Linked DNA regions of Rhinolophus ferrumequinum. The protein of the gene in region 2 purifies or fractionates together with the protein of the main gene of each other region. This does not show direct contact. Links are inferred from orthologs where the notes say so. Each region holds a gene or a part of one and is shown on either strand. Other genes may lie near its edges.

Region 1 (8,085 bases), on a different chromosome or scaffold from region 2:
TCCTCAAGTCCCACAAGAGATGGTGGGCTATGCCCCCTGCAACTAAGACTGAACACAGCACCTTGAGCTGAGCTGCCGCTGAGCTCCCAGATGGCTCAGTTGGTTGGAGCGCATCCTCTCTACCACAAGGTTGCTGGTTCGACTCCCGCAAGGGATGCTGGGCTGCGCCCCCTGCAACTAACAACCGCAACTGGACCTGGAGCTGAGCTGAGCCCTACACAACTAAGATTGAAAGGACAACTTGACTTGGAAAAAATCCTGGAAGTACACACTGTTCCCCAATAAAGTCCTGTCCCCTTCCCCAATTAAAAAAAAAAAAAAAAGGACTCGTGTACAAATGTTCATAGTATCATTACTTATTATAGCTGAAACCTGGAAACAATCTAAATGTCCATCAGCTGTTCAATGGATAAACAAAATGTGGTATACCCATGTGTGGGGGTCCAGAATGAGCCACCCCAAGAAGTGCCTCAGTGGTATACAGAGTACTTTGAGCTAAAGGCAATTTTAGCTTCAGTCTCAGAAACTTCTGCCCCTCTCTTTTAACTACCTAGAAGAATTTGAATTAGAGGCCTTGTCCATAAGCGATTATCAGAAATAACTTCTTTTGACCTATCTATAGGGCAGGGCAGACTTCTATTTATTGAGTGCCTGCTCTTATCATCCTGCAATGACCCTTTGAGGTCCGGAAGGCACCTTACATCATCCCTTGCTCAGGGTATCTTATGTATCTCAATCTCCCTTTCTATCTCTGAACCTCTCCTGTATATGGGGCTCCTATACATATGTGTGCTTTAAATTTTATTTTCTCTTGCTAATTTGTCTCATGTCTATTTGATTATTAGACCAGCTGATAGAACCTTGAGGGTAGAGGATAGTTTGTGCCTCCCCCACACATGCAATGGAATATTGTTCAGCAATAAAAAGAAATGAATTCCTGATACATGCTACAACATGAATCAACTGCAAAAACATTATGCTAAGTAAAAGAAATCAAATAGACCACATATTGTATGATTCCATTTATATGAAATAAAGAAAAGGGAAATCAATAGACGGAGAAAGCAGTTCAATGGTTGCCTGAGGTTGGCTAAGAGTTGACTGCAAATGGGTACACAGGAACTTTTGGGTGATGGAAATATTCTAAAATTGGATTGTGATAATGGTTGCACAATTCTATAAATTTACTAAAAAGTATTGAATCTTACTTACAGTAGGCAAACTTTATGGTATGTAAATTATATTTCAATAAGGTTTAAAAAAATGATGTAAGGTGTTAAACAAAAAACATTTCATGGCCAAAATCTTTTCTGAAGGAAGGGGTTTATTGAGCCAAAACACTAGTCAGAAAAGGACCAGGTCCTGCGCATGCACTCTGAATCACCAACAGCAGGGCCAGACGGAGAAGGCAAGATGTCTACAATCCTGGGGTAGATGGGCTTTTATGGAAACAGTTTGGGGAAGAAACATGTATGTTGTTTTGAAAGAATTTACATTGGCTTTAGATAAAAAGAGTGGGAGATGGTGACGCGGGAAGAGTTCTGGGTTAGGTGCAGAATCTGTAAGGAAGACATGTTTGCTCCTTTAGACTGATGGTGGGCAACAGTCCAGAAGGTGTAAGCAAGAAGTACTGGTGACTGGACATTCTCTTTAGATAATTGTACAAATAGTCACCTGGAAGTTAATTCAGTTTCAACATATACTCAGGAATGTAAGCAGTTTTGTTGGTTTTGCCCTGCAGTTGTTATTTGATTAATCGCTCTTGTCTCTTCCTTCCACCCTTTAGTGTGCTGTAATTTAATTTAGGACATTTCAGAATTTTCTCCTTGTCAGAGGGCAGAATACAGACAATTTTAGATGTGCAAGATTTCAAAAAAACTAGTACACAGTCTTTCTCAGGAAGCAGCCGGAGGACGTAACTACCAACTGAGGTAGTAGACCTCGAAAAAGGTTATTAAAGGAAAATTAAAACATATGTTTATACAAAGAGTGGTACACCATGTGTATGGCAGGTTTATATCATATAACCAAAAATTGGGTGCAGCCGGGTGTCTATTACCTGATGAATGGATAAGCGAACTGTGGCACATTCATAGGATAGAATATTACTCAGGAATTAAAAGCACAAATGATTCAAAAGCAACAAATGGCATACTTGTACAACAGAATGTTACTCAGGAATTAAAAGCATTCAATGTTAACATAGATGAGGATCTGAAAGGTGTTGCAGTTTCTTTCCCTTCACTGGATCTTCAATGGCACCTTTGTTAAGCTCAACAAAACTTCAGTTAACATGCTGGGGGCGTGGAACAATATATTGCATGGGGGTACCCAAATCTGAGGTCAGAAATGAATGGATCTATAAGTGTGGTTATGGCAAAATCAACAGGAAGTGAATTGCCCTGAGATAACACTTAGACTGTTCCGTCTCATGGTAAATATGGCATCATCTGCATGGAGGATTTGATTCATGAGATCCATACCGTTGAAAAACCTTCAACTTCCTGCGGCCTGCAAATTATCTTTTCCAGGAGAAACCGGATCGACAGGTTTATTAGAAGGATGAACTGAGATGATTACCATGATTATTTTTGTAATTTGGTCAGTTAATAAACAGTGACTGCTTTCAAATTGAGAGGAGAGGAGAGGAGAGGAGAGGAGAGGAGAGGAGAGGAGAGGAGAGGAGAGGAGAGGAGAGGAGAGGAGAGGAGAGGAGAGGAGAGGAGAGGAGAGGAGAGGAGAGGAGAGGAGAGGAGAGGAGAGGAGAGGAGAGGAGAGGAGAGGAGAGGAGAAAGGAGAGGGGAAGGGAGGAGCGGGGAGGAGAGGAAGGAAGGAAGGAAAGGAAATCTTATTTCTGTCCTTGGAAGTTTGTCCTTGGCTTCCGCCTTTGAAACATTATGCTTTAGCTGAAAAATCCCTGGCAGGATCCTTTGCAGGTCTTCCAGTCCTGCACTGTCTTGAGCCTGCTGTGTCTTGAGCCCAGACCCAGGATCCCCAGGACCAGCCAAGCATGAATTCCCTCTTTTTGGGGGCTCCACACTTCACCTCCCATCACTTAGGCTCACACTCTTTTTTTTTTTTTTAAACTTTTATTTATTTGTGTTTTTCCAGGACCCATCAGCTCCAGTAGCTGTTTCAATCTAGTTGTGGAGGACACAGCTCACAGTGGCCCATATGGGGATCAAACCGGCAACCTTGTTGTTAAGAGCACTGGGCTCTAACCAACTGAGCTATGCGGCCGCCCTAGGCTCACACTCTTAGTGTTGGCTTTGGTTGCTCTTTCCCTAGCCCCTGAATGCAATGGACCGTTCTTTAGCATCGACAGTTAATGCTTTTGTTTCCATAAACCTACCATTTCCTAATCCTGCACTTTAATCAACTGCAAAAAGTGGCTTCCTACCCAGCTTCACAGCTGCTAGTCTGTCTCTCTTTCAGACCTCCCTGAAATAATATTAAAATAATAATTCAAAAACAATCTAAATTGTGATCCAAATCTAAAAACTCTCCCTACAAATCCTTGGCTAGGCCTTCAAGGTCTGCTCCTAACCAGCTCTGGAGCTGACTTTCCTGAGCACCTTTCTCCAGTTCAAACACTTCCATACATGGTGTTCCCAAACACACGATACCCATTTTCCTGCCTTTCCATATGCTGTTCCCTCATCTAAAGAAGCCTTCCTCCAACTCTCCACCTATAGAAATCCTGCGTATCCTGCCAAGCCCAGCTCAAGTCTTACCTATTTCCCTGTCCATTCCAGGTGAAAAGCAGTTCCTCGCAACTCAAAACCCCACCAAATTCTGTTTAGTACCACCATCTTTTAGCATATACCTTTGCTGGAGTAGCTGTTTTGCTCACATACAGTTTCTGTAACTACATTTTAAGCTCCTTGTTTGGAACATGTGGCATCCAGAATACTATGCTGCCTTGAATATCCACTTCCCCGAGTAAACAAGAAAGCAAAACTCCCTTACGCAAATTTGGGGGCTGGGAGTTTAAGAATATTAAACTCAAGTAAACATGCAAACACCACACTCTAACACCTCTTTTCCCCTACTAGGTGGCATGAGGGAATAAAGCTTGTTCTAAGATAGGTAATACACCTATTGATTCTAGTTTTTTCCATTCTAGGAATCAGCCTCTGGGTATCCAAACAAATGGAAGGCAGAGACCAGGACCCATAAAGGTCTAAGAAAACCTTAGGCTACTTCCATTTCCTGAGGCGGCATATTGACCAGTGAAGATGCGCTAAAAGTGGGCTTCAAAAATTGTGTGTTTGAAATCTTTTACCATTGCACCATCCTTTTCTCTCAATCCTGTCGGGTGTCTGTTGTACTAATTGTACTTCAGGAAACATCACAAATTGAAAGTTGAAAAAAACCTTGCATTACAGCATTCTGGACTCTAGTTTTCCATGGGTAAAGTGGAGGCCGCACTCTGCTAGGCCCAGAGCGATGACTCTGCAGGAACGGTGACGCGTGGTTACACAGCGCTGTGCAGGCAACTGCAGGCCGTGCGGAAGGAGCCGGTGCGGGTTCCGCCTGCACCCTGTCCGGGCCTCGCACTCGCTGCAAGGGGAAATGGCCCTTCCCGATGGTCCGCCAGACCGCCCACTCCTTCAGCCGCTTGCCATTTGCCCCCACAGCGAGGGGAACGGCATGCCGGTCCTGGGGCCCGGATCCAGGAACCGAAGGGTCGAAACTACCTTCGGTTGAAACGCCCGGCAGTCTGCCCATTAAGACACCAGGGCAACGGGGCGCGGGAACGCCTGCCGGGCGGGCCCCGCCCCAGGGCGCGCGCCCACGGTTCCCAATCGGCCGTGGCCCGCCCCTTCCCCTCCCGCCCAACCAACAGCCACTTCCTGTCTCACTCCCAGCCAACCCCCACACTCCACGAAGAATAGCCCTAGGGGGCGTATGGGAAGGTGATTAGAGCGATGGCCACACTGACCAACCGCATTCCGGAGCTGGCGCGGTGGGGGCGGAACTTGGCACTAGCCGTAGCTACTCAGGAGCGAGGGGAGGACGTGGGGCCGGGTTTCGTGCGGCGGTGCTCGCTCGCGAGGTGCAGCGGCAGCCTAGGCCTCTTGGTTCTGCGGCACGTGACGGTCGTGCCGCCTCTGCTGCTGTCTCTCCTGCAGCGTGGGGCCAGGTGTGCGGGCAGGAGGAAGTGCGGGCGCCGCCGGCGGTCTCGGGGAGGCTCGAGGTGAGACTGGAGGCCTACGGGTGTCTTAGGGCCTGTGAAGACCCCGGGGGCCTTGGTGCGCGGCCCCGCGGCCGAGGGGTCGGGCGTGGCCGGGGCGGAGGGGTCGGGCTGGGTTTCGAGGGCTCAGGCCCGGCCCGACGCTCGGCTCCGGCCGTGTGGGGCGAGCCTGAACCTGGGCCGCCTTGGTTGGGGAGCCAGGCGCAGGCCGCGCCGCTGGGGTTGGGAGGCGTGGCAGGTGCCCTGAAGCCTACCTCGACCTCAGCGAAAACCAGCTTCTTTCTATGGCTTTGCTTCCAGGGCTTTCTCAGGCCTTTTGCTGGCTGCCTGAGAAGCCTCGAGGTGGGCTGGAGTAACCGGCTATAGATCTGGAGTGGGATCGGGCTTAGTCACTACCCTTAGTACTGGGAAAGGTGATATCGGACCGACAGACAATATTTAGGACTAGTGTTACAGGTTCAATATTTGAAAATAAAACCGCAGGGCGAAGACTGGCTCCTAGCACCCTGAAGAGAATGTGCTAGAACACGCAGTGGTTGAAAAACTTGTCTTAACATTTTTACCTGTTAGGGGGTGGGGTGTAATCCAATCGCAAATTCACCGGACATTAAAAGCAGGGAAGCACCCAAAAGCTCACTGTGGGCAGGTCGTTTGATAGTGGAGGAACAGGCAGGCCCGAAGCCATGAAATGACTGGCCCAAGGTCATGCAGTTAATTTTATGATCACATTGGGATTATAGTTGAGGGCTAGGCAGTTTTGGTATTAAGGTTAAGGCCCTGTTGCATGGCCTTCATCAGCCGTTTGTTGCTGTGTGAACTTGGGCAATTTACTTACCTTTTGTACCACGTTTCTCCCCAAGTGATGGGTATACTAATACCTGTTGGAGTTATTAGAATTAAATTAAGATGTGTATAAAATAGGACAAAGATGTCTGATACATACTAACTACACAGCAAATTACTGCAATAAATTATAGTCTGATGCTGTTGGTCCTCCACACTGACAGACATCCTACTCTTAAAGTTGGTTAAGTCCTGTTTCCCAGGGCCTGCAGTCATATTTATGGCAATGAGAGGAAAAAACTGGACCTAGTGGATCAACTGCTAAGCATGACACTGAATGCTGGTTGAGGGAAGTTAAACTGAGCTGAATATTAAAAGCTTAGGAGGACAAAGGTGAGCCACAGTTAAGTCTCATTTAGGAAATGGAACATTTTGCTTGATATTTTTAATAAGTAAAAGTTTTTTTTTAAAGGGAAGAATTCTGTTGATATTTAAAACCGTTCTGTAGCTTAGTCTTTTTCCAGCAGTGTCTGAGGGTCATGAATAGAATCACTGCCATGTTGTACATACGTTATAATTATACTTAGAGCAGAGGTAAAGAACCGTGGGAGTTCTGTGCTCCAACCCCGGTGCACAAGCAAACAAGCCGGGTAACGATCATAGAAAGGCTAGGGTGAACTGCACTGGAGTGAATGTATCCTGCAGCAAACATTTTCTGACCTGTTTGAAAATGGGTGTCAGCATCCCTCTACACCTGACTATCTTATCTTAACTCAACAGTTTCAACTAGCACATTATCTTCAAGGACCACGAGCGGTAAACGTTTTGACAAGTTGTTGCTGCAGTTTTGGCAATCAGGCTATTGCATCCTTTTTGTTACAGAGTTCACTATGCCCCGCAAATAGCTTAAAGGGATGAAGTGACAGTTGGTAAGCATCAGTGCATGCTCAAGAGACTTGTATTCCAGGCCCAGCATGGGTAACTAGCTTATGAAATACTTCGGTTAAACATCTTTAAAATGGAAATGAGAAGTCTTCTGTCTACCTTACCATTAGGGGGCTATTGGGAGGGACAGCTAGGATGACGAACATGAAATTACTTTGAATAGTGTAATGAACTGTGCAAACAGAACTGGCAGCTCAGAACAATTCCTAGGAAATACTAAAAGTGCCTGAACAGAGTTGTAAACTATGTGTAGCTTGCTGTTGAACTTTGTCAGGAAAGTGCTGGTTAAATGCTTTGTTTACTGCAACATAATGTACTTTTAAATTAAGCTTAATACTGAGCTATGAAAAGTATTTGGAGAATTTTGTTTTCTAAAGAATTTAGACGATCTTCAGTATATTTTGAGTGTTCACATCTTAAAGCTATGTATTTTATAACGAAAAAGAATGTACTATGGAAAAATCAATTCTCATGTCTGAAAAACAAAATTCAAAACTAAAGGTAGTATGAATCTCTTTTTAAATGGATGAGCATTTACAATAAAGACCACTTGGAATTTTATATACTTTTTCCCCTTTAAGTGCTTTTGTTTTTTGACTAGCACGTGGTAAAATCAGAAGGCACAAAAGGGTAGTAAAAGTAAAACAGTTTATCTGTGACCGGAATCAGATGTCTTTTAACTGCTTCCTTTCTAGTCTAAGATTGAACAATTTTTTATTTGCCTTAAAACTCTAGAGCTTTAGAACCATTAAAATTTAAATGGCATCCCTTGGCAACCATAGTAATAGAGCTCACTGCTGGTACTGAGCATATGCTGTAAGCTGGGCACTTTCGTAAGTGCCTCCCATGCATTTTGTTTATACCACAACCCGAAGAAGTATACAGTGATGTTATTCTCATTTTAGAGTTGAAGACATTGAGGCCCTGAAATGAATAATTCACCCAATATGCCAAGTCACTACCTAAGGAGTTGATGAGTTCCTGCTCATAAACAATACTGTGTGTCTAACCTGTGTCCTTGGACAGTTTGTGTGACTTCTCTTAGTCTTAAATTCGTCCTGTGTCACATGGGGATGATAGAACCTCCTGGGATTTTCGTGAGGATTAAATCAGACAACCTAAGGTATTTAAACCCAGAAAGACTTTAAAAAGATGAATGG
Region 2 (7,804 bases):
CCTTACTGTGCCAGTTCTGAATCTAGCACATAAATATGTATTTTTCTTGTAACATAATCCTTAAGCTGGCTGCATCAGGTGCTCAACCAAAGCAATGGTCGGTTCTAATGCTGTATAATAAAGTATTATGGGAGATAAGGAGGCGGCAGAGTGCCTTATAAGATTTTCACTTTCCTGACTTTGGAACCTATGGTGAAGTTGATTTATGAGATATGATCAAAAAATACGGTGAATATTTAAATGAAAAAAATTATTACAGTAAAAGACACATTGCCATTAATTCCCCTCAAAATGCTCCCCCTCGCTTCGAACACACTTAGCCCATCATTCTTGCCACTTTCTGAAGCGGTTCTAGAAGTCCTCTTTTGTGAGAGTCTTTTTAGTTGCTCTTTTATGGCTGCCTCGATGTCCTGAATCATTTTGACTTTGGGGAAGAGCCACAAGTCACATGGTGCCAGACCGGTGAATGAGGTGGATGAGGACACACCATAATGTTTTTATTTGACAGAAATTGCCGTACCAGAAGTGATGTGTGACGGAGAGTTGTCATGATGGAGGATGATTTACAGCACACTTTAAAACACACCTTCTGACAACCATAGCTCACATCTGACAGACTGAACAAGTTGAAACTCGTCACACACAGTTACCAAGGTTCAATGCACCGCTTCCTGTATTGAAGGTCCCTGCCTTTCCGTGGGATGGTATTTGGCAACAGCATTCACCATATTTTGTGATCACAAAGAAAAGTCTCCATGTCACACACCGCTTCTGGTACAGCAATTTCTATCAAATAAAAACATTGCAATGTGTCCTCATCTACCTTATTCACCAGATCTGGCACCATGCGACTCCTGGCTCTTCCCCGAAGTCAAAATGACCGTGAAAGGTAAACGTTTTGAATCAATTCAGGACATCGAGGCAACGATGGCAGCTCAACTCAAGGCACTCACAAAAGAGGACTTCCAGAACTGCTTCAGAAAGTGGCAAGAATGATGACTTATCCCATGTTCAAAGTGAGGGGGAGTATTTTGAGGAGGATTGATGGCAATGTGCCTTTTACTGTAATAATTTTTTTATTTAAACATTCACCGTATTATCTGATCACAACTCGTACAGCAGTTGAACAACTAAATCCAGGTGATTGGTTATTTTCTAATCTGGAATGAATGTCTAGAAGTTCTATTGGGTAAAGACATAGAAGTCATAAGTCATGCTTATCAAATTTGTGTGTCACCCAAACCAGAACATATAGCTAAAACATCACTTGAAGATGAAGACTCCAAAAGACCACGACAAACGGCAAAGATGGGCCAAAATGAACACAATAGTCAGAGTTCAGTGCCTGGGTTAAAAAAAATTCAACAGTTCAAGGACACAATGGGAAGATTTCACATGACTGCAGTTTATATATACAGAACTCAGTGTTGAGTTGATTGTTAACACAAATAAATGGTGTGAGGAGCAAGCATCCAGCACAAAGGTGGACAGTGATAACTCCACTGCGAGACTGCCTAGAGTTTTGTGTTCCATATTGGGTGTCTCCAGGACTGGACAAGGAGGATACTGAGGGGTTGCAGACTCCTGCTACAGGAGGAACAGCTCAGGGACCACTGTTCTTTTTAGCTGAGAGAGGAGACTTTTATAAAGCGCAATAGATATCTTGAAATACTTAAAAGGATCTCACACAGAGGAGGAATTAAACTTATTCAGAATTGTTCCAGAGGGCTGAACAAGAACCAATGTATAGGAGAAGCTAGTGGGAGGTGGATGCAGCCCAGAATGAGACTGCTTTCATGATCAGAGCTGTCCAAATATGGAACAGACTGCCTTTTGCAATCTCCATCGCTTTACAGGAGGGCTATAGAGGATTGGAAAGTTGGCTCTGGCCTTTTTCACAAAGTCACTCTTTCTACTGGGCCTTTTCTGTCTGCCAGGCTTTTTAAACTCGCCTGCTTATTACCAGCTAACGTCCTCCTTTATCAATTCCTTTCAGGTTCTTTGATCAAATCATCCATCTTTCTGAATCACAGTTTCTCTTCTCTTTCCTCTCCCTGTACTCAATTAATAGACTGTAACTGCAATCCTTGGTGAAAGTATTTCTAAAACCCATTCTTACTGTTTAACCTGCACGAGAAGCATAGGTAGTTCATAAAATAAACTGGGCATAGGTTTATTTCTACATAGGAATGACTAGATCTTTCTGCCTGTGGGAGTCTGAGTTTATGCTTAATTTTGGCAACCTAGAAACAACACGTGTCAGAGACTCCAACAGGTTGAGGAACCAAGTGCATAATTGGCACGTGATGTAGAAGGGGCCAAAGCCAAGCTAAAAATCACAGTTTCAGTTAAAGGGAGTATATCGACTTCCAATGTATAGAAAAGACTGGCAAAGAACAGTCTAGAAGAGTGATGACAATGTGGTTACAGGAGCAATGTGAACCTACATTACTTATCTCCGAGAAACCTATAATGCTGCCTAACTCTGTTTTTGTTTGAAATCCAACCTTTACAACCATTCCCATGAGGCAAGTAGTTCCTGTTGATTTCACAAATTGGAAACCAATGAACTTAAGTTCAGCAAAAATTTGCTGAGGCATTCCCAAGGCAAGGCCTTTTGCAAGTCACTGATAGGTCAGGGATGGTGGGACTGTTTCATTCACACAGGAGTTCAATAAATGATGAGTGTATAACGGGAACTGTACTGTGTCCTGAGGATGGACAAGCTAGACAAGCCCCTGTTCTCATGAAGCTTATATCCCAGTAGGGAGAGACAGGCAGTAAACAGCTAAACAAAAATACAATATCAGAGATAAGTGCTGTGAAGCAATGAAAACAAAAACATGACAGGGAGGGTGACTGGGGCGGGTAGCCACGTTGTCAGCCAAGACATCTCTGAGGTGACATGCAAGCTGAGATCTGAAAAAGATGAAACGAGGCACTCAAAGATCTGGGGAAGCACATTCAGTACAAAAGCCGAGGTAGGGAACCCCTCAGGAAGCTCATAATCACACCAGAGGTGCTTATAACACTAAGCAGAGACCCAGCCCTGGAACAGAGACCCAAACTCAAATACCCAAGGTAATTTCTGGGATGAGAAAGGTTAATGATCCCCTCTGCCTATAGTTCTTCCATTGTTGCTGAAAGAGATGAGATGAGGCAGAAGAACTGGTAAGAAATGGTGCAGACCTGGTCTCAGAGGGAAAGGAACCATCAGCCCTCCATTACCACACCCCCACCATACAGTCCCGGTCCCTCCTGGAGGAGGCTCCAATCCTGTGACCTAACCAGTTTCCACCGTGCTTCTCTTAATGCATTGCCATACACTAGACTTCTGTTTGTTTGTTTGTTTCGTGTAGGGTTTTGTTGGCCCTTTTCCAAGTATCAATCAAAACTGCATGCCAGCCTCCACTCCTTGGAAATAATGAAATGACGTGCCTGATTTTTTCATCTGGGTAATGCACTGTAATTTGCATCTCTTGAAGGAATTTATCTCAAGTCCTGAGGCTGAGCCATCTGGGACAACTGAGGTGATTTTTGTTCTGCTTTGGCTCATGTGGATGGTACAGTATTGCCAAACACAAAAGTGGACTAACTGCTTCATTCTGCGACACACTTCCTTAAGAAAGCTGTTCTTTGTGATGCGAATATGTTCACTTTTTGTTCATGAGTTCAAGCCCTGTTAAATAGTCTAACTTCTTTACATTGGGAAATTCCCTTTATCTTGCTGTTACCTAGGTTTTGTACAGATCTCAGGGGCAAATCATCTGTGGATTAAGAATAGGTCTTGGATTAAAGACCCTTTTTCGCCTATTGGGGAAAGGGGAGTCTAGAAAATAGCCTTGATCTTAATACCCAAGAGAAGCACCTTCTAGTACAAATCTCACTGCTACACAGCAGGTACAGTAGCATAACCTGTGTCTTCTACGCAGGCATGTATCGAAGGCCGTGTGGGCTATTAAAAAGAAAACCTCCAAAACAAAACAAAACAAAACCTTCCTTCTTTTCCCCAGAGTGGGATTAACTCAGTCAGGGCCCAGAACCCGCTGGGGAAAGGCTGATGTCTGCGTGCCGTGGAGCCCTCAGCTGTGGGTGTGGGATGTGGTGTTCCTGAGGCTACAGATGAGGGATTTTGGCCTTGTGGGAAGTGAACTGCGGAATTCCTCCCCTTGGTTACTGAGGCGGGGCTCCGAAGCAGACAGATTAGGATGCAGAGTGCGGCCCTGGAGATTGAGAGCGAGGGGGCGAGCCAAGGACACCAACCAGAGCGCGCTTCGGGAGCCCTGTGCGGACCAAATTCCCAGGTTCCTTGGCCTCGCCTTCCCAGCCATGCACCCCGGCCTGAGGCCGACCCTGAAGGGCAGGCAGTTCCCTCCGGGCAGCGAGTGCAGGGAGCCCACCTTGAGGCTCCCACCCTTCTGGATTCTAGTTCTTTGGGCGGCTGGGGATCTAAGGCCGCACCAGCGGAGGAGCGGGCCGGAGCTCGCGCCCCGTCAGCCCGCGGACCACAGGGCACACTGTGCAGGCACCGCTCACAGCAGCCTCGATCCGGGTTCCGGGGGGCGGTGCGCGGGAGGGGCGGGGCCTGCGTGGCAGCGTGGGCGCGAGCCGCGCGGGAGGGAGGGAGCCGGGGAGGGGGCGGGGCCGCGCCGCCCGCGCCGCGCTGGGCCCTCTCGGCCAATGAGCGGCGTCCACATGCCGCGGCGGCGGCGAGAGGGGAGGCAGCGACGGATAAATGCTATTAGAGCAGTCGCCGCGGAGCCGTCCCCGACGCCACCTCCTTCTCTTTCGCCGCAGTTTCCTCCGCCGCTGTCGGGGGAGTAGAGCTGAGGGAACTGGGCGAGCGCGCTGTGCACCACCCCACCGGCTTGCAGCCCTTCGTTCCGCCCTCAGGGGTCGGCCGGGCGCCCCCTCCTCTGGTCCGGGCGGGGCCGCGAATCACCTCAGGAGAGCGGGGAGGGGGCTAAGGGGCCGCGGCCTGCACTCTGGGCGGGCGGTTGAGGGCGAAGGAGACCCTCCCTTCTGACGAGGAGAGTCGCGAGCTCCCACCGCCCAGCTGAGCCCGGGGTGGGCGCCGGCGAGGGCTAGGCAGCGAGAGGAGCGGTTGTCTGCGGGAGGGGGCGCGGGGTGATTCAGCGCCCCGCGAGGCGGAAGCAGCCGGAGGAGGAGGGGGAGAAGCCAGTCCGCGCCTGGGCGCCGGAGGTGGCACGAGCCCGCTGTCCGAGTGCGAGGCGGAGGCTTGGAGGCCGCGGGGACGGGAGGCGAGGCCCCCGCAGCCATGGAGAACGCGCACACAAAGACCGTAGAGGAGGTGCTGGGCCACTTCGGTGTCAACGAGAGCACGGGGCTGAGCCTGGATCAGGTCAAGAAGCTCAAGGAGAGATGGGGCTCCAACGGTAGGTGCCCGGCGCCGGGGCTGCAGGGGCCCCGCGCGGCCCGGCGCGGGGCCGAGAGCCAGGGAAGATGGCTGACCGGGCCCCACCTCGTGGGTCTCGGCTCCGAGCCCGCCGAGGGCTGCAGGCGGCGGGTCGAGCCCGCGCGTCGGCCAGGCGGGAAAGGGGCAGCATGCGGGGGGCTCCGGATCGGGTCTGCGCCTGCTCTCGATGTCCTCGCGGCTCGAGACCTTGACCTTCCCCGCACGCGGCCAGCTCCGTGACTGTCACCAGCAGCAGCCGGCCCTGGTGGAGGGAGGAACTAGTCTCCTGAAGCTGGGTTGAGTCCTGCGAGACATTTTCTCGTCCCAGCCTGTTTATGAGGCGTCGTTGTAGTTGAGAATGCCTCTGACCGTTCTTGCACTACCCAAAGTTACACATCTGGCAGAAGTGATGACATAGCTGAAATGACTCCTTGTTTCGGGATCCCTGTTTAGATGGCAATGAGATTTTACGCTTTGGGGTAGACCTAAGGCCATTGGTTACAAGTATTGCATATTTTTGGGGGGTACCATTTTAGTATGGTTTCCATTAAAAATGATAGAATGTATATATATCTAGGTACGTCTTTCAAAGATTGATAAGTTTTAGCAATTCTTTTTTAGAAATACAGAATGCTAAAATGTTTTTTCCCCCCTCTTGACACGGTTGCTTGGCGAATTTCTACATTCTACAGAGTTACCGGCTGAAGAAGGTAAGTAATCTTAAAATGTCCCATTCTCCACCTCCACCCCCTCCCTTTGTGTGCTGAAGTTAATATGACATTTACAACAAATATGTTTGTTTCTAATAGGAAAAACCTTGCTGGAACTTGTGATTGAGCAGTTTGAAGACTTACTAGTTAGAATTTTATTGCTGGCAGCATGTATATCTTTTGTAAGTATGAAGCAATTCATTTTCTCTCCAAATAAATAATGTCTATCGGGTGAGAACATTATATTTGGAGGTTTAAGCTGTGTCTCCATTTTTTTTTTCCAAACCTAGATATTTTAAAATTACAAACAAAACACTTGAAGCCATTCGTGAACAGAAAATAAATGGCTGCCTGATATTTACAGTGCAGTTAGAAATTATTCCTGAATGTGGCAGGGTCTTACAAATTCTTGTGGTTTATCAGTTTTTAATAACAAAAAGTTCTTTATTGGAAGGCCTTTTCTGTTTCGGGTTCTTCAATTGTGTAAGATCATACTAAGATGATGTTGGGCTCTTTGTAGTCTGTAAATAGAACTTACAAAAGGAATATTCCAGTTGCTCTCCTGTCCTAGTAATGGCAAGGTGACAGTTTCTGACAGTGACAAGAATGATGACGGCAGTGATGGCACCACTGTTGACCAAATTTGGTCACTGACCTTTAGGGTGGTATATTTATCTAAATTGGACCCCTGTCTTGAGTGACTCCTAGGTTAAGAGAACAAGGTTCAGTACAGTTGGTTCTAGATCTTAAAAGAGGAAGAAAAAAAATTGTGTTTTTTCTTCTTCTGTATATACTTGCCCGCTTGAGTCCTGTATGGTTGCTAAGAAACTGGTGAAATGCAAAGAACTACTGGAGAAGAAAGGTGATGGGGGTTGGTGAGGATATTTCTAGGTTATTAACATTTTTTTTCTGTTCAATATTTTTTATTGCCTTTTTTTCTTGGGCAATGGACTTCTTGGTAGTTTTCCTAAAAATGGTCATGAATAGGACACAGATGTTCCTAATCCTAACAGCATGAGATGCCTTTTGTTCTTAAATTACAATATTTTATTCTTATAAAAACATGATTGGAAGCGAAATTCACCCAGTGCAATACGTTTTTCAGGCTTCACAAAACCTACACAGCTTCAAGGTCTCGTTTTTATGTTTGTATGTATGCAACCAGGGATCTACCTCAGTCTTTGACAACCATACCATAGAGGGCTATTTTGAGAACTGAATAAAGGAAGCAGTGGACATTTTTTTAGGTGAGAAAAAAATTGGGAAGAGGTGAACTTTTTCTGGAGTAATTATATACACAGATACTGCCATGAGAATCTGCCATTTTAGCCAAGGGATGTGTAACTATTAATCAATCCTTATGAATCTTTTCAGTGATATTCATTGAATAAAATATAGAGTGATGTATCAAACATTCAACATCCTGAATTAATCACTCGATACCTCTTACATGTCTGTTCTGAATTAATTTAACCCCACAACCTCCTCGCCAGTAAATGACTGCTGCTTTAACCAATTAAGAGAAAGGAGTAGATCTGTTTGATTAATAAGTTTCAACATATTGTCGTGGGGCAAAACAAATTACATATTTGGGCTAGTATAATATTTATATTTAAGCTGGCTACGTAATTCTGAAACTGTCAGCTCTGGTAGTTGAAATACTGGGGTTCAATACGGT

What was found. Proteins that work in one complex are often made in the same cells at the same time.
Region 1: the proteins of ATP2A2 (region 2) and CANX purify together in Homo sapiens (co-immunoprecipitation; 3 studies listed by BioGRID and IntAct, with this or other methods). This does not show direct contact. The link is inferred for Rhinolophus ferrumequinum from reciprocal best matches to the Homo sapiens genes ATP2A2 and CANX.

Annotation. Positions count from the first base shown.
Region 1 is NC_046307.1:2,866,817-2,874,901, forward strand, and holds the start of CANX (calnexin), read left to right. Parts: upstream 1-5,016; 5' UTR 5,017-5,200; intron 5,201-7,918; exon of another isoform or gene 7,919-8,048; intron 8,049-8,085. Other genes in the region: CBY3 (protein chibby homolog 3), read right to left, coding at 4,432-4,731. UniProt on the Homo sapiens protein: Calcium-binding protein that interacts with newly synthesized monoglucosylated glycoproteins in the endoplasmic reticulum. It may act in assisting protein assembly and/or in the retention within the ER of unassembled protein subunits.
Region 2 is NC_046308.1:6,031,960-6,039,763, forward strand, and holds the start of ATP2A2 (sarcoplasmic/endoplasmic reticulum calcium ATPase 2), read left to right. Parts: upstream 1-4,740; 5' UTR 4,741-5,278; coding exon 5,279-5,396; intron 5,397-6,108; coding exon 6,109-6,126; intron 6,127-6,225; coding exon 6,226-6,308; intron 6,309-7,804.